Linked DNA regions of Sus scrofa. The protein of the gene in region 3 binds, or shares a complex with, the protein of the main gene of each other region. Links are inferred from orthologs where the notes say so. Each region holds a gene or a part of one and is shown on either strand. Other genes may lie near its edges.

What was found. Proteins that work in one complex are often made in the same cells at the same time.
Region 1: CHCHD3 (region 3) and APOOL share a complex: the UniProt entries of both Homo sapiens proteins name them as parts of the mitochondrial contact site and cristae organizing system (MICOS) complex. The link is inferred for Sus scrofa from reciprocal best matches to the Homo sapiens genes CHCHD3 and APOOL.
Region 2: CHCHD3 (region 3) and APOO share a complex: the UniProt entries of both Homo sapiens proteins name them as parts of the mitochondrial contact site and cristae organizing system (MICOS) complex. The link is inferred for Sus scrofa from reciprocal best matches to the Homo sapiens genes CHCHD3 and APOO.

What each region holds. Positions count from the first base shown.
Region 1 is NC_010461.5:68,278,456-68,288,371, reverse strand, and holds the start of APOOL (MICOS complex subunit MIC27), read right to left. Parts: upstream 6,592-9,916; 5' UTR 6,461-6,591; coding exon 6,446-6,460; intron 1-6,445. UniProt on the Homo sapiens protein: Component of the MICOS complex, a large protein complex of the mitochondrial inner membrane that plays crucial roles in the maintenance of crista junctions, inner membrane architecture, and formation of contact sites to the outer membrane.
Region 2 is NC_010461.5:20,011,194-20,021,314, forward strand, and holds the start of APOO (MICOS complex subunit MIC26), read right to left. Parts: upstream 6,592-10,121; 5' UTR 6,340-6,591; coding exon 6,331-6,339; intron 1-6,330. UniProt on the Homo sapiens protein: Component of the MICOS complex, a large protein complex of the mitochondrial inner membrane that plays crucial roles in the maintenance of crista junctions, inner membrane architecture, and formation of contact sites to the outer membrane.
Region 3 is NC_010460.4:16,048,402-16,058,420, forward strand, and holds the start of CHCHD3 (MICOS complex subunit MIC19), read left to right. Parts: upstream 1-4,237; 5' UTR 4,238-4,401; coding exon 4,402-4,482; intron 4,483-10,019. UniProt on the Homo sapiens protein: Component of the MICOS complex, a large protein complex of the mitochondrial inner membrane that plays crucial roles in the maintenance of crista junctions, inner membrane architecture, and formation of contact sites to the outer membrane.

The DNA of each region.
Region 1 (9,916 bases), on a different chromosome or scaffold from region 3:
ATGTAACAGATGGTCCCACTCAGGAGATTACAGATATGGGTTATGTGTCCCCCCTGTCCCGAACATGTTCCAAATTATACCTAAGTAAATTTTATTACCCACCACAGATTGCTACCTACATTGGTTGTCTCAGTGTTTTTTTATCCTTGGGAAACCATTTCCTAATTTAAATTATAAGATCTTAATAAGTTAACTTTTAATAGCAACTCTAAATATATTCCACCATATTTTCAACAACTTTATTACTTACTTCTGAAAATTATTCAAAAGTAAATTGTACCAGACAGACCATGAATCCCAAAAGTATCTATCCATTGCTTGCCCCTTTTAAGAAGCCTTGGAACATCTGACAACTATATTGTTCCCTTCTGTAATTCCTAACATATGTCACTATGCTGTGAACTATGGGAGTGATACACTGATTAAAACTGGATGGATGAGGGATTGGTACCTGAGCCAAAGGCAGTCAACAAAAGACTGCCTTGTAAAGGGGTCTAATGAGCAATTTCTGCCTAAGAAGGGTACTTGGCAGTGGTTAGTGACTAGTCAACCCAATCAGATCCTCTCTCTAGGAAAGTCTGGATGTGAAACATAACATTAGCAGAAGCAGAACAGCCATGAGAATGGTAAATACCTGAGTTGCTATGGTATCCTGAATGGTTCTTCTGGAGATTTGTTTAGCTGGTGAGATAATTTCCTAGGTTTTATTCCTTATCTATATATCTTTCCATTAAACTACTACTTGAAGATAACTTGAACCTGCCTGTTCTTCATCAACTGAAAATGCCTAATACTCTTTTCTCTATAACTTGTATAAAAGACTGGTTCTTGAACCCAACAACACATCTAAATCACTGGTGGGCTTTTAAAACATTAAAAGGCCCCATCTGAGGTGGGGCTCAGGCATTTTTAAGCTTCCCAGATGATCCTAATGCACAGCTAAAACTAAGAAATACTGACTCACATGAGCCTATTGTGTAAAAATTTTAGGGTCCACGTCAAGTAATCTTTTATTTCCATATTAAATGAGGTTCACAGAACACCTAATAGCCATATGTGAGGATGGCATCTCAGGGAAGAGTTAGTTCAGTCATATGGGTGTGGGAGGAGGCAAAGTACAGATCATTTTCACTTTATGGCATAAAGCAACATCCTGGAACTTATATCAAGTATGTTTAAGGGTTCCAAAGCAATAATTTTCAAAGTTACACTGAAAATGAACTTCACTTTGTTACGTTCCAACTATTTTCTGGTATCAATTACATGAAACAAAGTAGAGGAAAGAGACAAGGACTAAAGTTGACACAAAAGAATATATGGCTGGTATTATCAAGGATCCTGAAACCTTTAGGTCTATGTTGTCCATGTTCCTTCCCATCCCCATCACCCTTGGCTCCAGCCCCAAAACACAATTCTTGAGTCACCTATCATCTCTAATCCCTACAGTGCTCTGCATTTTCTCTCCACTAACCAAACTTCCTTCTACTCCCCCAAACTCCAAATGCCCCTGCATTGTGTCTACTCTCTTTGCTCCTTGCTGAAATGAAATATGACTGTCCTTTGAGGTACAACCACTTTGGAAAACTATCTGGCAGTAGCTACCAAAGCTGCATGCCCTATGACCTGGCGATCCCACTCCTAGGTGTACACTCAACAGTAATATGCACAATGTGTTCAAAAAGGCATACACAAGAATGTTCATAAAAGCATAATTTGTTAATAGCTCAAATTGAAAATAATTGAAATGTCCATAAATAGTTGAATGGATAAATAAATCATGATATATTCATCTTACAGAATATCATACAGCAATAAGAATGGATGAACTAATATACATGCATAACGGCTAAATCTCATAAACATAATACTGGGCAAAAGAAACCAGGCGTAACAGAGTAAATAAGTTCCTATTGTGGCTCAGTGGGTTACAAACCTGACTAGTATTCATGAGGATGAGGGTTCAATCCCTGGCCTCACTCAGTGGGTTAAGGATCCAGCGATGGCATGAGCTGTAGTGCAGCTCCAAAATTCCACCCCTAGCCTGGAAAATTCCATATGCTGCAGATAAGGCCCTAATAAGCCAAAAAAAAAAAAAAAAAAGAGAGAAAGAAAGAAAGCTGCGTAGTCCACTTACATAAAGTTCAAAAACAGGCAAAATTAATCTACAGTGAAGGAGGAAAAAAGGGGAGATCTGGGCTACTGGTAATGTTCTTTTTCGGAGGTGGTTCTGGTTGAACAAGTATGACCATTTTTTGAAAACTTACCAAACTGTTTATGATTTGTGTACCTTATCATATGTATGCTACACTTCAACAGAAAAAATAGAAAAAAGGAAAGAAAAGTAAGTCTTCTTTGAGGCTCATCTACTCATCCTTAGCACCTGCCTCCTGGTTACTTCATCACATAAAAGATTTAAGATTCTGGTTAATGGTCTTCTTCTATACCCTAAATTCTGCCATAACTCTGAGTGACTTTAATGTCCATGTGGGCAAATCACTCAAAAGCCTCACCTGACTGTTCTTTGACCTCACTTTCTTAGACCTTCGTATTCACTCCACTGTGGTTAACCACTCCATCAGTACACCCAGAATTTACCATTCCCCAGAACTTGTTAATAGCTAAAATCCTAAACTCAACAAACTTTTCTCTGAATACAATCCCCTATTCCAGGTTTGATTTCCTTACTGCTCTACTACTGTTCTTTGAACTAATAAAATTACCTACCATAGAAAACTTTTTGAGAATTAAATGAAATAATATTCATCAACAGTGTAGTACAGTGTCTGACACAAAGGAAATACTCAATACATGATAGCCATATTTCAATATTAAGCATTCTATTATAAACAGGTATCTTTCAGAACCCAAATTTTTCTCATATTCAATCAATCTCTGGCATTAATGAAATTTGGCTTTCAACACTACTACAGTCCTCCAGCCATTCTCTCTGATTCAAGAAGTCAGGAGGAGATGGGTTCCATGGTGTAGTATGATGACCACACTCGCCTAAGAAGAAGTCAGGAGGATAAATCAGTACAGTTCTCGTTCTCAAGGCTAATTCCAAATCAGTGTTTCACAATCACATCCGCTCAAAAAGCTCTTATATTTCAAAATATATGTAAACTATTTTCAGAGTTATTTTCCAACATTCAGGACTCCTCTCTAACTTAATCCTTGTTATTAAAACTCTGGGGCTTCAAAATTACCACAGATCACCCTTTTTTATACCTCCGCCTCACAGATGCATCCTCAAGCTTAAGCCTCGTGACCTGGACTCATATGGTGGGATTTCAGATCCAGCTCTACCACTTACAACTGTGTGACTGTGGGAAAATTACTCAACCTTTTAAAGCTTCAGTTTCTTTATCTGTAAAATGCTGGTAATAATAGCACTTACTCATAGGGACACTATGAAGCATAAATGCAAAAATTCACAAATGTTTAGCAAAATACCTAGAACAGGAAATGTTCAATAGCATAAAACAGCTGTGATCACTATTATTAATTCTTTCTTCTATACTAGTTCTTGGCACATTTCCCCTTGTCTCCAAACCTGCTCAGGTCTCTTGACATTTTTTCCCCCAGTTTTACTGAGATTTATTTGGCACACAGTCTTCTACTTTTTAAAACAATAAGACACCTTTTCTGGAATTTGCTACCTCATCTCAAGATTTCTTTCCTACCTCTCACCACAACATTTCTCTGAAGACTAATGAGTAAGACTAAGGAGGTCTTCTCTGAAGACCTCCCTTTCAGAGGCAAGGAGCAGTGGAAAGATCAGGGACTTTGAAGAGAAATATACCTGTGTTCGAACCTTGTTTTTCAAGTTAGTAGCTGTATAACCTGGAGCAAGCATTTTTTTCCCTAAGTTTTTCATGTATAAAATGGGGATACTAGAGTTCCCGTCGTGGCGCAGTGGTTAACAAATCCGACTAGGAACCATGAGGTTGTGGGTTTGATCCCTGCCCTTGCTCAGTGGGTTAATGATCCAGCGTTGCCGTGAGCTGTGGTGTAGGTTGCAGACGCAGCTCGGATCCTGCGTTGCTGTGGCTCTGGCATAGGCTGGTGGCTACAGCTCCGATTAGACCCCTAGCCTGGGAGCCTCCATATGCCGCGGGAGCGGCCCAAGAAATGCCAAAAAGACAAAAAAAAAAAAAAAATGGGGATACTACTGACTTTTCTAAACCTTAGTTTTTCATCTGCAAAATGGTGATGATAATATCTACAACATAAAGTTGTCTTGAGAATTAAGCGAAATAACACATGCAAAGTATTTTAGCATGATGCCTGGCTTTGTAGTAAGCACTTAATAAATGGCAGCTACCAGTGACTTATTAATGGCCAAATCAAAAGACTGTTCAACTTTCTCCTTCTCTAGGCTTCAGTGACAACACACTATTCAGGTTTGCTTTTTAACCACTGACCCGTCCTTTTCTCTCTGTACTTCCTTCATGATCTCTTTTTCTTTTCAACCAGGTGTGAGCTCTCTCTTCAGAACCTTCAGGTCACTTTGTACTTCTCCTGAGGCAGGCACTTCCCCTACTCTGAATCACATTTGTTGTATGATGCACCTTCACTGCTTAATTTAATCTCTTTTATCTTCATTACCTGGCATTTATGTACTAATACAAGAGTTAATATATTACAATCACTGTCCTCAAGTACCTTACAGTTTAAAAGGGTAGAACTGACAAGTAAATACTCTTATTATTTGCAGTGTGGTAAGTCCTATGGCAAAAGTGTACCCAGGTCCTCTGGGAGCACAAAAAGGAGTTATTTAAATTAGACTGGGGAGGTCTGGGACACTATCCTGGAAAAGGCATTTTGTATTTAGCATATGAGAAGGCAGCACACAAATCCTTGCTAAGTGAATGAATGAAATATGAGTAGGAACTAACTAGATGAGGATGGGATAGATACTTCAGGCTCAGAGAAAGGACATGAAAAAGGTTTGGAGTACAGATGTTGGAAGATATCCTGAGAGACAGAAAATGAAGCTGGAAAGCCAGGCAGGGTAGGCTGTCCTAGACAAAGCAGTCTGACCTGACCCCGGAGGGCAGATAACAGGGTGCCAATAAAGGTCTTTAAGCAGTAGAAGGGCATAATCAGATTTGCATTTTAGTACTCTGGCAGTGCAGAGGAAAATAAATGCCATGAAAGCCAGGCTAGAGGCAGCAATCCAGTTAGAAGGGTGTTGTGATAATTCAGCTAAATTCTGAAAACAGAAATGGATTGAGAATGGTGAATCGAGACAGATACTAAGCCTGAATTATTTATATTTGTATCTCCTGCAAGCACAGTGCATTCTATACTTAAAACCTGGTACAAATATCTACTCATAGATACTCATCTACTCATTGATATTTGTCGACTACTTTTTAAAAAATTTTTTTTAATTTATTTTTTATTTTTATTTATTTTTTAATTTATTTTTTATTTTTTATTGGTATTTCCCCCAACATGTTTTTTCCCCCACTGTACAGCATGGGGACCAGTTGCACATACATGTATACATATTTTTTTCTCCCATTGTCGTGCTCTGTTTTAAGTACCTAGACATAGTTCTCAGTGCTACACAGCAGGATCTCATTGTTAATCCATTCCAAAAGCAACAGTTTGCATCATTAACCCCAAGCTCCCAATCCCTCCCCGCCCAACCACAAGTCTACTAGAGACTCTCATACTGAGCGAAGTAAGTCATAAAGAGAAAGACAAATACCATATGATGTCACTTAGATCTGGTATCTAATATATAGCACAAATGAACCTTTCCACAGAAAAGAAAATCATGGACTAGAAGAGTAGACTTGTGTCCACTACAGCTAATGAAATCTACTTAGGGAACTGCAGCTAGCAGCCGGTTGAGTCATTTCCTGCACAGAGATTCCGAAGTAAAGGCACCTTTTCCCATTATGGAACTCAAAAGAAACTTAGGTTTGTTATTCAAACTCGGAGAATAACAACAGTGAATACAAACCCGCTCAACACAGAGACTTGGGATGTCTCTATCCTGGTCTCTTTCACCCTAAATAATAACGTTTGAACAAAGTCCTTCAAAGGGTCGTGAGGCCCCGCCCTGTGCACCCAGACAACTGCCCGGGATTCCTTTCTCTTTGTTTCAGTTCAAACCCAAGTCTCCTCTGCTCGTTGCCCCGGCCGGCCATTTTCACTCAGCCGTTTGGCAGTTTTCACTCTGCCGCAGTATAAACGGTCGACCGCAGAGAATTGAGGAGAGAGTATCGTCCCAGGCTGAGGAAACTAAAGCGGAGAGGCAGGTGTCTTGAGGCTTCAAACGTTAAAGAGTCCCCGACCTCGCCAATTCTCTCACAACCCCACTTCCACCTCACCTCTAGCTGTGGAGCTCCCTTCTGAAATTAGGAGGATCACTTCTATAGTTACTGAAGTACTCTTGGAACCCAGAAAAACTAAGGTACCTTTTACTTACCCTAAAGGCCGCCATATCTGTGACCCTCTCCGCCCAGGTCTTCACACGGAGAGCGGAAAGGAACAAAACAGTTCAACTAGGCTCTACGCACGACTGCACCTCCCAGTCCCATGCCTCGCTGGTCGGCTCCGCCTTTTCTCCGCCCATTTCCCCAGCTCTCCGGTGCGGCTCTGGGAAGCTACTGCAGCTCACCAGCTCCCTTCCGGAGAAAAGGTTCAACCATGTGGTTGATTGTCGCTATTCTTGGTAACGCCGTTAATATTCTCCACAGTCCACTTGAACGTTACTTTGCTGGGTGGAGAACTTTTCATTATATTCGTTGTTTTAGGCATAAGTGATTTGTCTAGATGAGGACTTAAAATCCAAGTCCAACTATCTTAAATAGTGGTTTAGTCATGAAAAGAACCTGTTACCTCTGCAATACATGGGCAAGTTCATACAGCCTAAGACTGTATCACTAAGCATTTACTATATGCCAGGCACTTGTTCAAAGTAAAGTACATAACGTGGTATCTTCCCTCGCGGAGTTTAAGCTTCCAGGAGGAAGAGAAACAAGTAAACGTTGCAAAGTGCCAAATGCTGTGAAGAAAAATAAAACAGTATGGGATGGGGTGGGAATTTACTGGTTTAGATAGGTTAGGGAAAGGCTGTCTCATAACTTGACATTTGAGAAAAGTCCTGAAGGAATTTAGGGAAGAAGGTCCTACACAGGAGGAACAGCAATAATAATAATAATAAAAAGGCCAGTGTGTCAGGATGGCATTAATTTAACATGAGAGGAAAAGTTTGTGCAACTTCTTAAATTTACCTTAAGGCATATGATAAATCTAAAGGACTTTTGGTGGCCACACTAAAAAAAGTCCCTTTACTTCTCATGGCAAAAAAAAGCTGAGATTTTTAAAAGCCAAACTCAAAGTTTGATTCTTTGGATTTCTAAAATTATTTCAGTTGAATTTATACCTAACCTTGATGGGTCGTTTATGTGAAAATTTAAAGCTTTGAGCAAGAAAGGGTGATAGTCTAATATTTGAATGGGGCTATCTGGGAGGATCTAGAGGCCTAAGAGAATTCAAAATCCCTACACCTTTCTGTCTGAACTACTCTTTATTTCTGATACCATCCTCTGTATTGGTCAGCATTTTTTATTGCAAGCAATAATATCCAGTTGTGGATAATATAAACAAAAATGGAACTTATTAGAGATAAATAACAGAATCAAAAGAAAATCTAAATAACCATCCCTTTAAAAAGACAGCAAACAAGATAGCAAGAGGAACCTAGATAGAAGAAACTAATTGGAAATCAGTTTCAGGCCTCACTGTCTAAAAGTGTGTGTTCTAACAATTTTCAATTTTGTGCAATCTTCTTATATCCATCATAAGTATTAGTTGTAAGCAATAGTTGTTAGCAGTTTTAGCTAAATTAAATATAAAATAATTTGGGAAGATATTAGGCAATTAACCAAATTAAGAGAAAGTCCAAAGACAGGATCAGAAATGTGAGCAGGAATCAGTGAAGGCTAAGATGCAGGCAACACAGCTAAGGTTGCTACACAGGATAGCTATGCATATTTCAGTTATTCCTTCAAGATTCAAAGTCCCATATGAAAGCCTCCCACTGGACAAGCCTAAATATATGCCCATGTCAAAGTGTTGAGAGAGGAAATAGCTGATATTTTCTTTTCTTGGGGAGGTTGGGAGGTAGGGTATGCCTCCTACAAAAACTCAAAGAATCAAGGATTCCACCCAATGGTAGGGGGTTAGGTCTTAGTAATGAAAAAGAAGGAAGGAAAAAAGGAGGGAGGGAAGGAGGGCAGGAAGGAAGCAGAAACAAAGAAGAAAAAGGAAAAAAGAAAAAAGAACCAACCAACCAAACCCCCCAATAATGTCTACTACACTGCTCAAAATTTAAATTCCACAGAAAGAGTGCCTGATTGGTCCATCTTGGATTATGTGTTCACCTATTAACTAGGGATGGTAGGTATTTTAAATAGATAATTCTAAAATCATTAATTGACAGCATTTGATAGAGGTGAGGTAGTTCCCTATAGATAATATATGGTGCTTCAAAATAATACATATACAGAACTTAATCAGATAAAAGTAGGTTAGAGAAGACAGGCAGTTTTAAACTCATCTTAGATAAATATTTCAAGGGAGAAGTCCAAGTAACTGAGTGTAGGCTACTCTAATTGAGTGATTTTTTTTTCAACTGCCAAGTAATGGAAGAAACAGTTACAAGGTTTCTAAAGTCAAGAATAAGGCTGTATCAGTCATTGTTGTATAACACATTACTCCAAAACTTATTGGATTAAAAACATAGACATTTTTTTATTTCAAAGGTTCTGTGGTTCAGGTATTTGAGCATGACTTAGCTGAGTCCTCTGCTTCAGGGTCTCTCACGTGGCTGCAATCAAGTTGTTGGCCAGGGCTGTTGTCATACCTGAAGGCTATACTGAAGAAAGGTCCACTTCCAAGTTCACTTATGTGATTGTAGGCAAGATTCAGTGCTTTGTGGATTGTTGGATTGAAGACCTCAGTTCATCATTGACTGTTGGCCAGAGGACCTCTCTAGGTTACTTGATCTATATACCTCTTCATAGAAAACCATCAAAGCAAGTAAGAAGACAAGAGTGTGTCAGCAAGAAAGAGACAGTCTAGAAAGAGGCAGCTTAATCACTTATATAAGTGACATACTGCCACAGTCTATTCTTACAAGTGAGTCACTTGTTCCAGCCCACATTCAAAGGGAGGGGATTATAAAGTGTTTGACTACCAGGAGGCAAATCATTTGGGGCCATTTCAGAAGTCTGTCTACCATAAAGACATTCTTTGTCTATGACTAAGGCTATGTGATAGGAGAGTAGCATAAAAAATAATTGCATGACTCCCAACCATTTAGGGAAAAGTCTACAAGGATCACTGTCAGAATCAGTGATTTGTCAGACCAGTTTGAAAAAGTCTTAAACAGTGAGTAACTAGGATGTCATTAACCAACCCACCAATTTAGATGGTCTATAGTTGGGTGGGTCTATAGCACCACATGCTTTCACGTCAACAGGGGAGCCCTGGGATGCAAGGTGAAAAGAGCATAGCATGAGCATGAGGTGAGGGACCATCAGATTGACCCAGAGTGAATTCAATGGGAATCCATTTACAGCTGTTTTTTGCCTTAGTGAAACTGGCCATGGGACAGAAGACAGGAGCGGAATTGCTAGATAATACTGCATGCCTTTTTTCAACTTTAGTAGATGCAGTCAAAAATTTTTCCATAGGGATTGTACCAATTTACACTTTCACCAGTAGTGTTTGAAGATTTCAGTTGCTCAACACCTTCATCAACAATTGGCATTGTCATTTTTTATTTTAACCATTCAGGTGGATGTTTAGTAGTATCTCATTCAAGTTTAATTTTCATTTCCCTCATGTCTAATGAAATTGATCACCATTTCATATTTCAACTGGCTATTTT
Region 2 (10,121 bases), on a different chromosome or scaffold from region 3:
TATCCCACTGCATGTGAATGAACTGTTCTGATCTGTGCCACTAACTGCATTGTGAGGTCCTGAAACCCAAGTTTCACAGTTACCTGGGGGGCTTTTTTAAAACTAGAGGTTCCTGAAGAGTTCCCTGGTAACTCAGTGGGTTAAGGTCAGGGGTTGTCATTACTGTGGTTCAGGTTCAAGTCCTTGCCTGGGAACTTCTGCAAGCCATGGGTATGGCCAAAACGAAACAAAAAACAAAGAAACTAGAGGTTCGTGGATGTCACTTAAAAACGAAATTAGACCCATAGGCAGGGCCTTGGAAATGGTCTCACAAATAATTCTGATGTGTAGCCAAATTTGGGGACTTTCTCTTAGGTAAAAAATGGGTCCTTACATTTATATCCACCAAGTACAGCAGAGTGCCTAACCCACGGCTGAACTGTGATAAATATTCATGCAATGAATGAAATCTAGTAACATGAATCTGGAGACTGGGTATATGCAGTCAATATTCAAACTTCCTGCAGCAGCACCTGGGAAAGTTACTTCCTGCAATAGAATCCAAATACAGGGCAGCTTTTCAAATGTATTTTGTAATCCACCAGTGCCCCCTACTGATTTGAAGATGGACTGCTAAATCAAAATGATGGTTAGAGTTTAAATATTTTATTGTATATGTACAAAACTAGCCTCGCACACTGTACTTTTTTCACCAATACCTATACTATCAACTCTTTTGCCTTCCGGTCCTAGTTGACCCAAGCTGGTAACTCTCAAACCCTACCATTTGCTCATCCCCACTCCCAGGCTGCAGTCATGATAGATCACAGGTAATAGCTCTCAGCAGAGCCCTCAAAGCCTCTCACCTATCTTCTTGTAGTGTATACAAGTGTAGTGTAGTGTATACAAAATGATAAGCCTTTTTTTTTTTTTTTAGGACTGCACCCACAGCATATGGAAGTTCCCAGGCTAGGGGTCAAATCGGAGCTGTAGCTGCCGGCCTATACCACAGCCAAAGAAACTCAGGATCTGAGCCACACCTGTGACCTATGCTGCAGCTCAAGGCAATGCCAGATCCTTAACCCACTGAGGGAGACCAGGGATCAAATCTGCACCTTCATGGATACCAGTTGGATTCATTATTGCTGAGCCACAATAGGAACTTCTCACATATCTTCTGTTCTCTGGTCAATGTCTCTTCCAAATCCTACCAAGCTCATGATACCACTCACCTCAAAAACACAAACCATCTATCTACTAATTTGCCTCAGTTCTTGCTATTCAAAGTATGCTAGGAGATGAGCAGCATCTATATCACTCAGGAGCTTGTTAAAAAATGGAAACTCTGGAGTTCCTGTTGTGGCTCAGTGGTTAATGAACCTGACTAGCATCCATGAAGACTTGGGTTCCATCCCTGGCCTCGCTCAGTGGGTTAAGGATCCGGTATTACTGTGAGCTGCAGTCAAGGTCGCAGACATGGCTCAGATCTGGCGTTGATGTGGCTCTGGCGTAGGCAGCGGTAGCTCCGATTCTATCCCTAGCCTGGGAACCTCCCTATGCCGTGGGTGCAGCCCTAAAAAGACAAAAAAAAAAAAAAAAAAAAAAAGGAGACTCTGAGGCCCCTACCCAGACCTACTAGATCAGAATCTGCATTTCAACAAGAGTCACATCCACATTAAAGTCTGTGAAGGAGTTCCAGCTCAGTAGGTTACAAATCTCACTAGTATCCATGAAGATGCGGGTTTGATCCCTGGTCTCGCTCAGTGGGTTAAGGATCCAGCATTGCTATGAGCTGTGGTGTAGGCCGGCAGCTGCAGCTCCAATTCAACCCCCAGCCTGAGAACTTCCATAAGCTCCAAGTGCAGCCATAAAAAGCAAAAATGAAGAAAAAAAAAGTCTGTGAAGCACTGGTTCTCACCTATAAGACCTAACAATGCCATTTTATGACAAGTAATTTTCTTTCTTGCTTGCTGCAGTGTGTAGAAAACTAGACAAATAATTTTTTAAATAAGTCTTGCTGGAGTTCCCGTTGTGGTACAGTGGTTAACGAATCCGACTGGGAACCATGAGGTTGCTGGTTCGAGCCCTGCCCTTGCTCAGTGGGTTAACGATCCAGCGTTGCCGTGAGCTGTGGTGTAGGTCGCAGACGCGGCTCGGATCCCTCATTGCTGTGGCTGTGGTGTAAGCCGGCATCTACAGCTCCGATTAGACCCCTAGCCTGGGAACCTCCATATGCCGCGGGAGCGGCCCTAGAAAAGGCAAAAAGACAAAAAATAAATAAAATAAATAAGTTTTATTATCTTGAAGCAAAATTCATCACCTACCTACACATGTAAGTCTAAAAAAAAAGAGAGACAGTATATTTATTTTATGGTAACACAACAGACAACAAACAGGAAAGATTTATATGCATTATATTTCCATATATAAATAAATGTTCAACACAAATAAAAATGTGAAGAGTCACCCAAGTTTCTAAGACATACCTGAGGCAGGTGGTACCATCCAGTTGAGGACCATTAGTCTTTAATCACTCCCACCCTTCCTTCCCTTCCATCTCATTAGTAGAAGGGAATATCCTTTTTTAAAGCCAAGGGAGTCTCTTTTATAAAAGTTCCCTTCCCACATTCCTCCAGAGGCCATAAGCATTGCCAAATCTCACAAAACGACTTTAGAATCTTGACCAAGCATGTCCTTCTAGCTACCACATTCCCCCTCCTTCTGTTGATAGTCAAGCTTATAAACCTCATTTACTCAGCTTTCAGTCACCAACCCATATTAATCTAGCTTTCACTACCATCATGAAAGCTTTCCAAATTGCCCAAATCAGCAAACACTTCTCCAAGCTCATCTAACTCATCCTTCCTAATAGACATTGTTGTTACACATCCAGTCTCCACTACCCCATTGTGCTCAAGGAATCATTTCTCTCCAAGTTGATTAAGGTAAACTGACCCCATCCTGGGCTGATTCTGCTTAGTCTAGGCACATCAGGGCATGGCATTCCCCTAGCACTAGCTATTGGGTCAGGGCCAAATACCTGACCTAAGTTGGTCCAATCAGATTGAAGGGAAACTGTAGTTCAAGCCTGGGAGTTTTATTCTCTCTCTTACTCTAGTGAATGGGAAAGCATGTGTTACTGGCAATCTTACAACCACAAGGAGAACCAGTCTAACTGTGGAAAGCCAAGAAAAGAGATGGGGACCTTGAAAACAATGTTGACCCAGTAAAGTCCACCCTTCCTCTGCATTTTGTGAAAAAAAATTCCTTACTATTTAAGCAGTTGGATTTTCCCACCTGAGAGCATTCTAACATAGCCTGCCCTTGAAACTTCCCTCCCTTAATTGTTTAAACATCACTCTGGTGCTCCTACTTCTACTTATCAGGTTGCTTCTCAAAATCTCTGGGCTCCCCTCTTCCTCATACTCCTCCTTAAATTTTGGTATCCAACAAGGTCTGCTGTGAGCTTTTCGACTCAAAGTACATGTTTCAACAATTTCAGCTCCCTTTATCTTTCCCTTGATACAGAAGAACTGATCTACCAGCACTTCCCCCATGGAGTACCACTGCTGCTGTTCCGTGGCTCATCCACCTGAGGAACTCCTGGCTTTCAAAACTTGCCTCACCTGAAGTCCCCAGGGGTTCATTGCCTTTTTTGTGCCACCATCTTCTTTGGCAGTCTGGTAAGCCCTAGGGACCCCTTCTCAAAATAATGCTTCTAACTGCATTTTATAAATGCCAATTATATTGCAATATAGTTGTTTTTAAAACCCCAAATCTGATATAGTAATGTGTACTTCTTTATTAGCTCTTTAAGTTAAAAAAACCTATTAGAGAGTCTTATAACTACTATAATCTTTTTCTTTTTCTTTTTTTTTTTTTTTTTTTGTCTTTTTGCCATTTCTTGGGCCGCTCCGGCGGCATATGGAGGTTCCCAGGCTAGGGGTCCAATTGGAGCTGTAGCCACCAGCCTACGCCAGAGCCACAGCAACGCAGGATCCGAGCCGCGTCTGCGAGCTACACCACAGCTCACGGCAACGCCGGATCGTTAACCCACTGAGCAAGGGCAGGGATCGAACCAGCAACCTCATGGTTCCTAGTCGGATTGTTACCACTACGCCACGACGGGAAGTCCCATAACTACTATAATCTTAAAGCAGTGATAAGCATAAATATCTTGAGATCTGGAACCACTGTAATGTGATATGAAAATGTCTGTGACATGCATTGGTCCTGCTGACTTCTATTGGTGACTACCACTAGTTTGTGGCTGTAGTAACTTAATTAATTGCTCCCCATGAACCACATGTTCTCGTATCTGTGCTGTTCTGTAACCTCACACCATACTGACTCGGGCCTTGGCCATGTGACTTGTTTTGACATCAGCAAATGCGATATAAGCATGTGTTTATGCACCGGGACTAGGCTTCTTAGAACCCAGTAACCATGTAAGGGAGCCCAAAACAGCCACATTGAGGGGCCCCAGGCCCACTGATATGAGAGTAAGGCTACCTCATAGTATAGCCACCAGTTGAATTCTGTCACTAGAGGATGCCGGCAGAACTGTCCAGACAACCTATAGATGGTGAGAAGTAATAAATCACTGTTGTTTTAAGGTCATTATCTGGAAACTGGTAATTGAAACTGTTAACCTACATTCATAACTGAAAGAAATGCTAAATTTCAGCAGATTAATGAAACTGATTTTTTTTTTCCCTGCCAGAATTTAAAGATCCTCTTAATTCTATCCAGACCTTCTAAGGGGCCAAGAACCACAGCTTAAGAACCCTTGGTAAAACAGAGGAGATGATACTCTCCTTTTCACCACCACAGAACACTGCTGATAACCATATGAAATGATCACAGCATACTCTTTATTGTCGCAACACAGTGTACCCTTTGTTGTTGCAACCCTCAAACTAAGCCAGGCTCCTAGCACATAATAGGTATTCAACACAAATTTATCAAACAAAACCAAGTTGCTTATGAGATCTGTTGTCCTAACTAAACTGTGAGCTACCTGAAAACAAAATAAAAGCAAATACCTGGATGTCACTTCTATGTGCCAGGGCCTCTTACAAATTCTTTACACATACTAACTTATTTATTCCTTATAACAAGCCTACAGGTAAATGTTGTTTCCCTAACTTCACCAATAAAAAAACAGGCTCAGAGAGGTTAAGTGACTTGCTCAAGGTCACACATCTAGAACGTGGCAACTCCAGGAATGGAAGGCCAAACCCACATTCTGACTTTAGAGCCTGTCCCAGTGTACCCAAAGCACGTTGTAGGCACTCAATAAAACTTTTAAGGAGTTCCCGTCGTGGCTCAGGGGTAAACGAATCCGACTAGGAACTATGAGGTTTCAGGTTCGATCCCTGGCCTTGCTCAGTAGATTAAGGATCCTGAGTTGCCCTGAGCTATGGTGTAGGTCGCAGACGCGGCTCAGGTCCCGTTGCTGTGGCTATGGCGTAGACCGGCAGCTACAGCTCTGATTAGACCCCTCGCCTGGGAACCTCCATATGCCACAGGAGCGGCCCTGGAAAAAGGCAAAAAAAAAAAAAAAAAAAAAAAAAACACTTTTAAATGAGTAGTATAATTCTGAGATTTCATTAGCAGTCTTTTATGGGTACAATGCTTCTTGACTCAATTTTGTAGACTCATTTCTGGTAGCTTGCGATTTGTTCTTCATTATAAAAAATATCATTTACTTTTTTTGAAGGAGAATAATGGCTTCATGTTAAAATGCAGATTTTCGAAACAGTCTTCACTGTAAAAGTCTTTCAAAGGACACGAGTTCAAAAACTGTAAAGAAGGGGCTCGACCTGTCCATACTATATAATGTTCACTGGGGAGGAGAAAGTCCAGCTTCTTCCCCTAACCCAGCCGTTCCATTCCCATGCCAGTCTCCCCGACTTCCTGCAGGAGCTTCGCCGAAGGTGACCTCCCCCATTCATACCAGGTTCTAAAACCTGACCTTGCCCGGCACAACCAAAGCCGAACCCCGCGGTGCCCTAAGCTGGCCTAACCCTACTCACGAACTCAAGAGGGCACCAGCCAGAGTGTGGATACTGTGAGGGATACTTTAACTTTTTAAAACATTTTATTCCCGAGAGCACGACCAAAGGGCCCAACCCACCACCCTCGAATCTCCCGCCTCCTGTGCCTCAACCGCAAACTCCAGGCGGACCGGTGAATGACCCTCGGGACCGGGACACAGGCAGCCCGGAGGCGGGAAAAGCCTCAAAGCGAGCCAGTTCTGGTTCCCAGAGAGGCCCAAAAGAGCGCGGGGAGAGCTGCAGGCGGCCGGGAAGGGGCGGTGACAGTTGTGACCCGGCTCGACACTCTCACCTTGAACATGTCGCTGGCAGCGGCGGCTCCGGCGGGGTCACCCGGCCTCGGCCACGCCCACTATAGAGAGGTAACTACGGCGGCCGATTAGGGCCCGATTCCTCCGACCGCAAGCGGGCCGCGGTGCGGGTAACAGGCGTACAGCCAATTCGATCCCGCTAAGGCTTAACTCGGAAGCTTGGGCTGCTAGCAGCGTCGTTGAGCTGCAGCGCGTCGCGCCTCAGGCGGCGAACACAAGCCCCGCCTTCCGGAGGCTCCGCCCCTGCGCCGGCGGTTGCTAGGCGGCGGGAAAGCGCCAGCTCAGTGTGGGCGGCACGCGGGGGCGCTAGGAGGGAGGCGCCGAGCGCAGAGCCGTGCTGGGAATTGGCCTTCGCCGCCGTGATTGGGCGCCAGCAGCGTGGGTTGGGAAGCCTGTGTGCGGAGGCCGCCGGGCGGGGGCGCTCGGCAGGCCTCTGGTGGCTTCGAAAGCCTCGCAGCCGGAAGCTACCGACCTCGGGGGCCTGGATTTACCTCACAAAAGGTTTTTAGTTTTGTGGGGTTTTTTTTTTCACCCTTGTTTAGCCATTTCCAAGATTTTAAATTTAAACTAATTTGCCTTGTCCTTTAGTCTTGAAAGAGCCCGACATTTTTTTCTTCTTTAAAATGCTTAAGCGTATGTTTCTCACAGGGAATCAAATGTTTGTCCTTTAATTAGAGTAGAAATAAGTAATAATGACAAAAATTATCTTATTAACAAGAATAGCAACCACCAACAGCGTTTACTATGTAACTTGCTCTGATGTAAACTCCTTACACATACTCTTCTTTCCAACAACCCAAGTAGGTGGGCACGATTATTATCTCCCGTCAAATACATGAAGAAACCGAGGCTCAGAGAAGTAATATGTGGAAGGTCATACAGAAGGAAAGTGGGAAGCCAGGATTCAAACCTCAGTAGCCTGGCTTTAAAGCCTGTGATCGCAAGTAAACAACTGTTGTAGTGTCTCATACCGGGGTTGTATTTCATGTTTCATTCTGTATTTCATTCTAATCCCGCAGCAAATGTAAGCCCATCCGGGGCAGGCATCCAGAAGATTTTGGGAGTTTGGTGCGGTGTCACTGCTCTCCAGCCAAGATCACTAAGAATACTGTAGTTGAACAAGCTGAGTTCATTTCTCTTTGGTGCCAGGAGAACGCACCCTTGGGAAACGGTGGGGCATCTCAGTAAGAGGGTGTTAGATTTATTCTAGGATTTGGGGCTTTGGTTGGGGGGTTTGCGGGTGAGTTCAGGGAAGCGAGTCCTTGTTCTGGATTGGGTGGTGCTAGGAAGCCAGGGCTAACACGAAAGCCCAGGTGTGGGTGCCAGGCCAGCTCCCAGATGTTAAGGGCTACTTTTCTCTTTCTCAAGAGAATTGTATATCCCTAGCCTTCCCTATACCTAAGGAGAACTATTTAGGAGACTCTGAAGGCTCTGCATCAGTAATGGAATGTCATATGTGTATAAGAGTGTGACTTATAAATGGTAAGTTAGGGCAGAAATTCTTAATTCTGGAGGTACATGAACTTGGGGAAAAATTACAACTTTATTTTCACTAACCTATAACTGAACTTTAACAGTTCTTTAAATTGTGGTGTAGGTAACCACAGTAGTTCAGCGGTACCTATGACTTTGTCATCAGTAGAAAGCACAGATATTTTCATATCATATTATAGTCACAGCAGATTTCTTGAAATATCATTTCTGCTCATTACCACTTCACAAGTACTGTAATTATTAGAGCTCTCATTTTTTATTTTATTTAATGCATAAAGAAGACATTTCTATAATTTTGTTTTTGAAAATATTTTTACAATGATTTCAATATAATTGAAGTCTTTTGTAACCCTATATATTTTAGATTATGGGTTTAAAAAAACATAATTCTTATTCAATATCCCGTGTTAAACCATAATGGAAAAGAATATGAAAAAGAATATATATGTGTGTGTGTATCTGTATGTACACATATATGTGTATAACTGAATCACTTTGTTGTACAGCAGAAATTAATACAACAATGTAAATCAACTATCCTTCAATTAAACGAAAAACATAGTTCTTAGAAGGAGTTTGTCCATAGGGGTCCACAGCACCAAAAGAAAAGATAAAGAGGCCCTGGTTTAGTACAAGACACTAGGCAGTTACTAAGAATTGGAAACTGCTTCCAAATTGGAGTAATGTATCAAAGGATAGAAAATCAGAGGTGGAATCAGATCACTTACTACACATGCTCTCACTTTACTAGGCAAGGAACTGAGCTACTGAGAGATTAAGGGACTTGCCCATAGTCTCACAGATGTTCCGTGATAAAACTAGGATGAAAAGCTTTTAGAAAGCATGTAAAAACCCTCCACTCTTCTAGGCATTGGGAATTTCATAGTTAGCAGGATGCCTCCTGCCTTCAACATGCTTGTTGGGGTGACAGCCAAGAAACAAAATTTTGATGCAATGTGAGAGGTAATGTAAATGAAAAACACATACAGTATTATGGGACCTTGGAGACACCAGTGAGTAGTTCTGTAAAAAATAGAAGGAGGAGAATTTCAAAGAAGAGGCATCAATTACCTCGGGTCCTAAAGGATGAATTGATGTTTACTGGTGGTAGGGAAGTCAATCTAGGTGGAAAAAAATGTCATGATCAGCGGCACAGAATTACAAAACATTAATTTTGGTAAGTTCTTGTTCTCACAGATGGTATAGAAAGGATGCTGATGGAAAGTTGGTATTTTGAGATTTGAAAGAGAGTGAAACTAGATTGTGAAAAGACATAAATGCATTTCTCTTTTTTTGGCCTCGTCCCTGGCATATGGATGTTCCCAGGCTAGGGCTCGAACCCACACCATGGCAGTGACCTAAGCAGTGAAAATGCCAGATCCTTAACCTACTACACCACAAGAGAACTCCTTGAATGCACTTCTAAGGAGTCTAGACTTTAGCTTGGAGGAAATGGGGGTCCCTAAAAGATTTTTTTTTTGTCTTTTTGCCATTTCTTGGGCCGCTCCTGTGGCATATGGAGGTTCCCAGGCTAGGGGTCCAATCGGAGCTATAGCCGCCAGCCTACGTCAGAGCCACAGCAACGTGGGATCCGAGCCGCGTCTGCAACCTACACCACAGCTCATGGCAACACTGGATCGTTAACCCACTGAGCAAGGGCAGGGATCGAACCCAAAACCTCATGGTTCCTAGTCGGATTCGTTAACCACTGCACCACAACGGGAACTCCCCTAAAAGATTTTAAATTGAGATTTTAAGTTTGGATTATTGCTCTAAAAAGTTAACTCCAGCTGTCGAGTAGAGGATGACTAGGAGGTTGAAGACTGGAAACGAGGAGACCGCATAGGCGGCTATGGATAGATCCATTTGTCTTTCCCATATATATATCATATTGTTTTTAGTACAGAAAGAATGTAAGCAACATTAAGAGATCCATGAAACCTTACTTTTTCAAGGGTTCTGGAATTAGCTCAATAATCGTATGCCACTTGAGTCTCATCCAGACAGTGTAATAATATAGATTACGACTTCAAATGTTTAATTTATATACTTTCAGAGTACTTCATTGTAAGGAAAATGAGTCGTTCCATGAAGACGTCAGTTACTGGTGTTCCAAAATCAGAAAATCCAGCCTTGGGAAAAGGTCCCAAAGTACCTTTGTCAAATACTGTAAAGACAAAGGGAAAACAACAGTAAGTAGCTGTCTTTCACCTTGTATCATTTTCCACAACTGGACAGTTTCCATATAGTATTTACCCAGCTAACATCAAACACTTCT
Region 3 (10,019 bases):
GTACTAGGGACATTTCTACACCATTAGCCTCAATAAGCAGGCATTTCTCTGCCTGTCCAGCATCACAGTAAAAGCGCTTATGTAACCTTGATGCATTTCGAGCATTTGTTATTCAGAAGTAAAGAGGCTAACAGCCTGCATTTCAGAAATCTCTCAAGATCCATGGCAGGTAGATATTGCTGAAGGGTTAGGAGACTGTCCCTGTGCTCTCAAATAAAAATGGTTTGAAAATTCATCAAGGCCAGAGGAGCCATTCGGGAGAGATGAGAGATGGGGATGTTTGCGCCTGTCTAAGGGTTAGAGAGGAGAAATGAGCCTCTTCTGACTTGGGCTCTGTTTGTCAAAGATGATCACTCCAAACCCAACACAAAGGCAATCGAAGAGCCCTGGCGTCCTTGCAGGGCTTGAAAGTAGACAAGACTGGGGCTTGGTTGGGTTGACCTCTCACTCCCTGGCATCCCTCCTTCCATGCCCCAGGTACCACCCTCAATATTTCAGCCACTTTATTCTGATGAGTGTATAATGAGGAGAAAAAAAACATAAAAATGAAAAAAATGTAACAGAAGAATGTCTAGGAAATGGCAGAGAATGGCCTTTTGGAAACCTATTATAAATTTGTCGAGACTTTGCTCTGGAATCATCTTTGTGCCAGAGGTACCAAGGGATCTTCTTGATGCGTAGCCCACGTATAAAATTTATTTTAACTATGTGTTAAGCAGATTGCTCATCAGAGTCCACCCTGTGACACAATGTGGCACAGCCTATACAACTTATTGTGGAAGTTCCCATTGTGGTGCAGTGGTTAACGAACCCGACTAGGAACCATGAGGTTGCAGGTTCCGTCCCTGCCCTTGCTCAGTGGGTTAAGGATCCGGCGTTGCCGTGAGCTGTGGTGTAGGTTGCAGACGCGGCTCGGATCCCGCGTTGCTGTGGCTGTGGTGTAGGCCGGTGGCTACAGCTCCAATTCGACCCCTAGCCTGGGAACCTCCATATGCTGCGGTAGCGGCCCTAGAAAAGACAAAAAGACAAAAAACCAAAACAAAACAGGGAAAAAAAAAAAAACCCAAACCCCACAACTTATTGTAGACAAGGAATTAGCAGTAAAGGCTACTATTAAGCCTCAGGATTTTACTAGATGCATGGGTAGTGCAGCCATGAGTTTTCCCTGAGCAGTGATGGGAGGTAAAAGGGAGGCGATGGGATTTGCAGCTTTGCTGTGGATACTTTCAAAGATACAGAGGCTCATTGTCATACCGTACTTGTTATAATGCCTTGTAATTATTGCTGACTTGTTTCCTGCTATGTTGGGTTTTTTAATCTCTTCAAGGGTGCAGTCCAAAATTCTTGTTTTCGAATATATCACATAAGTGCATTCATGCATGCCCAGCCCCCATCCCAGCAATGCACGCGCGCGCGCGCGCACACACACACACACACACACACACACACACAGACATTCACACTGAGGACTACTGTTTTAGGGTGGTGTTGGTTTTCTATGATTCTATATACAATAAAAATTGGGGAAGGCTTTAGGGTTGATGTCCTATTACAGTTTGTCAAGTATGTTTTAGTCCATATCTTTAGAATGTCCTTATATTGATGGTACTACATAAGAAGCCCTCTTCAGAGATTTTAATTGGTTCGCTTATAACTATGGCAACTATATGTCCTAGATTTTCTAGGATGTTTCTGATTTCAAGGACCGATTTAATTGTCTAAATATACAAATAACAGAGCATGAGCTCCATTTGCAGCTCAGAAAACATGATCATTATATTTATATTCTATTTCTACACAGACTCTGAGAACGGTACTGTGTGGCTGAAATGCTACTCAGAAGAGCTGAGCAAGAGCTACCAGGAACAACATGCTGATTAGTTTTTCTAGCTGGAGCCCAGGAACAGGTTTCTCCTCCCTGTGCTTTTGTTTTTACCCTCTCTCACCCATCTCTTCCTTCAAGCCCAACCAGTATGTTAGGGAGGGTCAAGAAAAGTAGTGGAAGAGGCATCACCAGAATTTTGCCTTTTGCAACTTTTTGTTTAATGTTGGAATTGAGGAGGTCCCATCGTGGTGCAGCAGAAACGAATCTGACTAGGAACCCTAGGTCACGGGCTTGATCCCTGGCCTTGCTCAGTGGGTTAAGGATCTGGCGTTGCCTTGAGCTGTGCTGTAGACTACAGATATGGCTCAGATCTTGTGTTGCTGTGGCTATGGTGTAGGCCTGCAGCTGTAGCTCCGATTGGACCCCTAGCCTGGGAACCTCCATATGGTGCAGGTGTGGCCCTAAAAAGCAAAAAAAAAAAGTTGGGATTGAAAAATCAGAAACCTTCTTTTGGCAATTCATTTGTGAGGGTGATTTGGATGTCTAGGTTTTTTTTTTTTTTCTTTCTTTTTTTTAAAGAATGGGCATTAGGAATGATTGAAATTTTGACAGCAAGAGCATGTTTGTTTGAGCTCCCGCTGTGGTGCAATGGGATTGGCAGTGTCTTAGAGCTCTGGAACACAAGTTCGATCTCTGGCCCAGCACAGTGGTTTAAGGATCTGGTGCTGCCCCAGCCTCAGCATAAGTCGAAACTATGCCTCAGATCTAATCCCTGGCCTGGGAACTTCCCTATGATGCGGTGGGGGGGGGGGGAGAAAACAAAAAGCATTATTTATTTGCAGCTTTAATTCCAAAAGATGTGACATGGTGGGAAGATGAGAAGTCACTCAGGATGAAGGAATTGGAAGGTGATATTGCTTGATGCCTAAGCTAGGATTGGTGAAGAATTAAACCACTGCTCAGTTCTCCACTCTACATCCAAGTAGACCATTGACATCCAATGTTTTTACTTAGAGTGCTGGCTTCTTGGCCTGAGACTGCAGAGAATATTCTGTTGTGTTCTTGTATATACTGGAGTAGGTCTCACATGAATAGGACGATTCCTTGGTAAGATGCCCTAGAACCTGGGAAACAAGACACAGCTGTGCTTCAGGAAGACCAGGAGTTTTGATTGAACTTGACGTTATAAAAATTGCAGTTAGGAGTTTCCATCGTGGCCCAGTGGGAAGTATTAATAATAGTAATTACTAAGTATTAATAATAGTAATAATAGTAATAGTGGGAAGTAATAAATTCAATACTCTGCCACTGACCAGAGTTAGAGGTGAAAAAGACATAGTCTGTGCCCTACAAATTTCTACAGGAAAAAATCAGCAAATAATTGGAGTTCAAAAATGTTAATACATTTTTGTGTATACCTTTGCCATGCTGTTTTGTGGCTGGCTGCCTTTAATGTTGAAAAGGACTCTCTGAGGATAATATCATCGCTAACGTAAATCCTAAAGAGAGTACATATGCCTCTGTAAGACTAAGGTCATATGGGTAAACTTACATGTCAGAGAGTATTTAGCAATAAAATTTTGAAAATACATATGTAGATAATTTAAGCATTATTTATGTAACTTGTAGAGGTGAAATACTGACCTAGAAATAAAACTCCTCAACTTTGTTGTAGTTTCAATTCCTCCACTAATTAATGCTGTATTTGTCAATCACTTTCCTCTACCTCCTCCTCTTACGGTCTAATATAAGCTAATGTAATCGAAGTGGAAGGAGACACAGAAAAGTGAATGCATTGCATGCAAATAATTAATTTTTTCTGCTTTCTCACATGGAGATTTGAAAACCATAGTATTTAAAATTTTATTTTACGAAAAAGAAAAAAATGCATAGCTCACGAAATAAAGCTATAGGCCAAATACAACGGCGTTTTGTTCTGTGGTTACTTGCAAAACTAAAATAAAGACTACACTTTGCCTCAGGGATTTGTTCACAGGGATCTAGGAATGGTTGCATTAGGAGAGTGCACCTCCCTTAAGGAACTGTGAGTTCCTTTAGGAACGAGGTTGTATCTTTCAACTCCTAGAATACTACCTTCAAAGTGTGCTTTCTTAAACTTCCTTGTAAGTTGCTAAGTTAGATGTCTCTTCTGCGGCAAGACCACAACTCCCAGAAAGCCATGTTCTTACGGCGCTCACCGAATAAAGGCGAGAAAATCCCAGCACCCATCGCGCCAGATGGAGACTACAATTCCCACTATAGCCAGGGGCTCCGGAAATCTGTCGAACACCACCTGTTGCCATAGCATCCGGGTCTGCACCAACCAATCCGAGAGTCCTTGTCCAGTAGAGGCGGGCCGTTTGTATTTTCGGCCAATAAGAGGCATTTTTGTTTTGGCGCGTGACCGGAGGAGGCGGGAGCTCAGGACCGGCGCCTTCTCCTTGCTTCTTGGGGTCGTGGCCTTGCTCCCGCTGTGCAAGGCGAGAGTCCGGGCGCGTCCACGCGCGTGTGTGCGCGTGGGACCTTTAGAGTTCGTGGGTCCGCGCTAGGTCTCTCTGGGGGCAGAAGCAGAAGCTATGGGCGGGACGGCTAGCACTCGTCGGGTCACCTTCGAGGCGGACGAGAATGAGAACATCACCGTGGTGAAGGGCATCCGGGTGAGTGACAGTGGGCGGGCGGAGGGCCGGCCCTTGGACTCGGACCCCTTACCTCTGCCTTCTTTGGGTCCCGCTCAGCCTGGTTTTCCCCGTCTGGCATCCCTAGTCTTTTCATGCCCGAAGCCGAGTTGCTTGCGAAGAAGTTTGAAGTTTTTCAAGACTTGGGACATTCATTCAGAGATATTTCCTCGTTGTGTGCCAAGTGCTGGGCACTGTGCTGGAGCGGCTGGGGGGATGCTAGATTGACCTAGACCCTCCAGGGGCTCAGAGTCCAGTCTAGACTGTATTGCTTAGTAGTTGTGGAACTTTATTTGAACCCCTGCCTTACTGTACTCATCTGTGAAATGGGGCTTGTCTTACTTCTCCTGGGTTCAGGACACACACCCTGCTTTTGCATTGCCCACATCACTTCTCTGTGGTTGAATTGGCGTTTTAATGAACCCTTCAACTGCTGTCTCTCATTTAGTACTCCCACTGACGGGGGACGGCACTCAGTCCCTTAACACACACCTTAGATTTTCTGCCCTGGCTTGGGTGAATTCTGGTTTCTCCCTCCTTGCACTTGACATCTTGTCTTTCCCAGGCGCCTTCTCTGTTAGCCTGCCATGCCTAAGTTTTGGACTGGGCCCAGTTGCTTCAAGAGTAGCGTCCGCCAGCCCGATAGGACTTGAGATAGGATTGCAAGTTTCCATACCACTAGAAGTAGTACAGTCAGGTCTCACTGAGACATTGGAGAACATTTTTAAATGCCCTTGCGTATGCCTGATCCATAAACTGAAAACTTGATTTTTCTCTAGGATGTCAGTATACCAGCACTAACTTCATTAACACGGGCTTCCGCAGCGCCAGAATTGGGAGCGTCACATTTTTGGAAGTAGGATACCTGAGCCTTGTAAATAAAGCAATTTGACTTAAGGAAGTTTTATACTGTTTTCTGTTTTTTTTTCCCTCTGGTATTACACATCTCGCATAAGTAAATGAGTAAATTATTTTTTGCATTGGTTACTAGGAATTAAAACTTCTTAAATATTTAAGGTGTTAAAAAACTTCTTACTTTGGAACTGTTAACTTGAGAAGAATTTAAGTTTTTTCTAGAAACTCAGGCTTTTGAACTCAATTTTTGGTCTTTGACCAGCATTTTCTTATATTAATTGATGATGGGTGGTACCATGGCTTGTAGTAGAATATCTGAGACTGCATTCTTTGTGTTGTGTGGTTTAGTTGGTACTCTTTGGAGTAAAATAAACATTTCTGTAAATTCTTGGTTTGTGCAGAGATTTGTTTAATCTTGCTTTTAGGCTTTGAAAGTTCCACACCAGAGGGTGGAAAAGAAATAAAAGATAAAAGAAAAATAAATTTTGGGTGAGAAGACATTGACTAGAAAAATGTGGAAATCCATGTTCTCATTGCTCTAGTACAGGCACAGTGATGACAGCAAACTAAAAGAGATATGGGCCACAGCACAGAGATTTATATCAGGTATTAGATAAAGTTAAATAAGATAAGTGCGAAAAAGGGTTGATAATAGATTAAATGAAGAGATTGGGAGTTCCCGTCATGGCGCACCAGAAACAAATCCAACTAGGAACCATGAGGTTGCGGGTTTGATCCCTGGCCTTGCTCAGTGGGTTAAGGATCTGGTGTTGCCATGAGCTGTGGTGTAGGTCGCAGATGTGGCTCGGATCTGGCATTGCTGTGGCTCTGGCGGAGGCCGGTGGCTACAGCTCCAATTAGACTCGTAGCCTGGGAACCTCCATATGCTGCGGGTGTGGCCCTAAAAAGACCCCCCCCCCCAAAAAAAAGCGATTGGCTCAAAACCCCTTTTAAAAAACTTAAAAAATTTTTTTAAAAAGAAAAGAAGCTTTGGCCACCGAACTTGGTGGTTTTTCTTTCTCATAGAACACATTTTATATTTTTGAAATTCAGGCACACACCATGCTGATTTTGACCTCCATGCTTTGCTCTTCTTCAGTTATACCTTTCACCTGGAATGCCCTTGCATCGTTTTCCCTGTTGCTTCAGATCCTTTTTCAAGGATGATTTTCAATCTCTGAGCTTCAGTCTTCTTACCTGCAAAGGGTTTGAGTCTATCTCTGAGAGCTCTGATCTCTTCCACTTCTGAAATTCTGTCAGTCTGGTGGCACTCTTAAGTTTCTTGTAGCCACACTCAGCCTCTTGCACTTTCCCCTAAAAATAACATGCTCTTGAATTGTTGAGTACTCAGGGGTCATTCTGATTTCTTTGAGGTCATGGTCAAAAGAACATCAATTTAGAGTTAAACAGAACTCAGTTAAATCTCACATTAGGCATTTAACTAGCCTGCACTTCTTTGGTTATATTTCCTTATCCCAAAGGGGAATGTCATCTCTTCTCTTGATTGTGGTAAGATGAAGTAAGGTATTTAAAGCACTTGGCACTTGGAGATTTTTTTTTTCTTTTTCTCCCTCCTCCCTTCCTCCCTCCCGTCCTCCCTTTTTTTTAATGGCTGCATCTGTAGCATATGGAAACTCTGTGCTAGGGGTTGAATCAGCTGTAGCTGAGGCCTATGCCACAACCACACCAATAGCGGCTTTGAGCCACATCTGAGACCTTTGCTGCAGCTTGTGGCAATGGCGGATCCTTAACCCACTGAGCAAGGCCAGGGATCGAACCTGCATCCTTACAGAGACCATGTCAGCTTCTTAACACGCTGAGCCACAACAGGAACTCCACATTGAGTTTTAACAAAAGGCAGCTGTTATTAATATGATGGAATTCCTCCCACACCTGATGTTCTAAGATTCTTTGGATGTGCTGTGTACTGTGGTGGAAAGAGCATGAACTTTGGAGCCAGGCAGACCTTAGTTTGACCCTAGCTTTGCCTCTCACTAGCTTGTGGCCTGGGACAAGTCACTTTCATTGTGTTTCCCTGTTGGATATGTGGATAATGCAACAAACTTTTGATACTTTTGTATCAAGTACCGCTTGTGAGGACTTGCTATGTAAGCATTTCCACAGTGATTAGTACTTAAATGAGTAGTAGCTGTTATTGGAGCTGGTCAAGGGGATAGATACCTAACCTTACATGAACTGAAAATAATAAAAATAAGAGCATATTGTGTTCCTACATGTGTACCTAAGGGGGTGTGGACTGGGGAAGGGGAGCCCTGAGTTCTGCAAACGATTGCCTGTGTGACTTTTTTTTTTGTCTGTGTACTTTGCAGATTTTTTTTTTTTTTTTTTGGTCTTTTTTGCTATTTCTTGGGCGGCTCCTGCGGCATATGGAGGTTCCCAGGCTAGGGGTTGAATCGGAGCTGCAGCCACCAGCCTACGTCAGAGCCACAGCAACGCGGGATCCAAGCCGAGTCTGCAACCTACACCACAGCTCACGGCAACGCCGGATCGTTAACCCACTGAGCAAGGGCAGGGACGGAACCTGCAACCTCATGGTTCCTAGTCGGATTCGTTAACCACTGCGCCACGACGGGAACTCCTTTGCAGATGTTTTTAAGCTGACCTTTATATTTTTCTTAGGTCAAAAAAGTCCTCTTGTTTCTCTTGTAGCTTGGGGAAGGATAAGAAGCAATCTTAGTATCATAAGTGAGCCACAGTTTTTAGCTCAGTTGATTGAATCACCGTGCTGTTGAGGCCCGATTTCGGTGTTGAATTGCAGATAGGTTTGTTGAACTTGGCTGAGGAAAGTGTTCCAGATTTACCCAGTTGTCTAACATTCATGCCGTCACTCATAAGAGTAAGCGTGTGCCAGCAATGCGGTAGATTCAGTCACTGCTGGAAAATCAATTTTGTCTTCCACTGATAAGGATAATAATTTCATCTTCATTTATGTTAATATATGAAGAGTGACATTTAGTAAGCAACATAAGGCTTTAAGTAACTAGGTTGTGTTTATTAATAGATCATGTTTTCTGATGTTTTTGGCCCAGGTCCTCAAACAGGTAGCAATTAAAGGACCTACTTACACTTTTAAGTTTAAAGTTTCTTCTCACTTACCAGGTGTCATTTATAAGGGGACTGCTGTCCCCCCTCCTTTTTTTTTGTTGTAGCTTAATTTATTTATGATATTACATTTTTCCTTGTCAACTGTTAACTCTCCTTGGGGTGGGTCTCTTCAGCCTTTGTATGATGTCTAACAGTCCAGAATGCTTTATGTTCAAATTTCTATTAGCATTAAGAATTAATCCTTATAAGCAATGAGATCCTGCTGTATAGCACAAGGAACTATATTTAATCACTTGTGATAGAACATGATGGAGGATAATGTGAGAAAAAGAGTATATATATATATTTATGTGTATGACTGTCGCTTTGCTATGTAATAGAATTTGACAGAACACTCTAAATCAACTATAATAGAAAAAATAAAAATCTTAATCCTTTATTTTCTCCACTATCTATATTTTTTAATCATTAGAGCTTTCCGCTTTTTCATGTTGAATATTATTGGGATAAACTACATGAAAATATATAGAAAAATGTTCAAATATTTCAGAATATATTTTTTAGGGCATTAGTAAAGAAAGTATGTCTTTAAAAACTCTACAATACTCCTGAAGATACATCTTTTGGAGCAGTGGGGAAAAAAGCCAGATTAAAAGAAAGGATGAACTCCAATACTGTTTATTTCATGTATGTAATGCATATATATTTGATGATCAAAAAGAGAGAGATCATTATTTAATAAGTTGATAGCAAACCCAAGGTTTTGTTTTTGTTCTTTTTTAAAAAAAGATCTATTCTTTAAGAGAAGAATATTTAAAAGACCTTTGCTTTAAAATCTCTATAAATCTACACCCAAGAATGACCTTTATGATAGCAGGAGGAAAGAAAAAAACAAGGCCTTTCTGCTCAAAATATCTTACCCACCCTGACCTGAAATTCTCACTGGGAAATGCCTCTCCACCATGCAAATCTGTTGCCAGAAATTAGTGACACATTGGACTGGTGGGAATGAAGCTGGGCTGCCTCCTTCCATCTTTGCTCACTAGAAAGATGGATCCTTGGGCCACACCCAGTTCTACCTCATCAGAAATTGGGATTTGCATTTTCAGCAGACTCTGGACACCAAAGCGCTACCTTAGACTGTGAAAAATTAGAATGGGATAAATGAATTATTTGTTCCTTTACAAAGCTCCTCCCCCAAGGAGACAAAGGAGGGAGCAGTTTTATGATGATGCTTGGTGTCCCTCCCTCCTTTATCCTTAGCTATTGACAGCTCTCCCCTTTCCACAAAATAACCTGCATTCTAACACCTGATTCCAACTTTGACTCTGATTCCATGGGTTGGATCAAAGGCCATGCTCTTGCCCTGCCCTCCTCTCCAAGTGTAAAATAAGTTTCTTGTGATAGAAAGACCAAGCATTTTGATGACTCGTATTACATGTGCTTAATAGGCTTTTTCTGAGCACCTGCTGTGTCTGCTTAGCGAGTGTGCCTTGCTCTCAGTCTTTCACAAGTTTATCTGAAACATCAAAGCTGTGAGTGAACTCTTCCAGAGCAAATGTCAACTTCAATAAGTAGCATTTTCAAAGTAATATTTA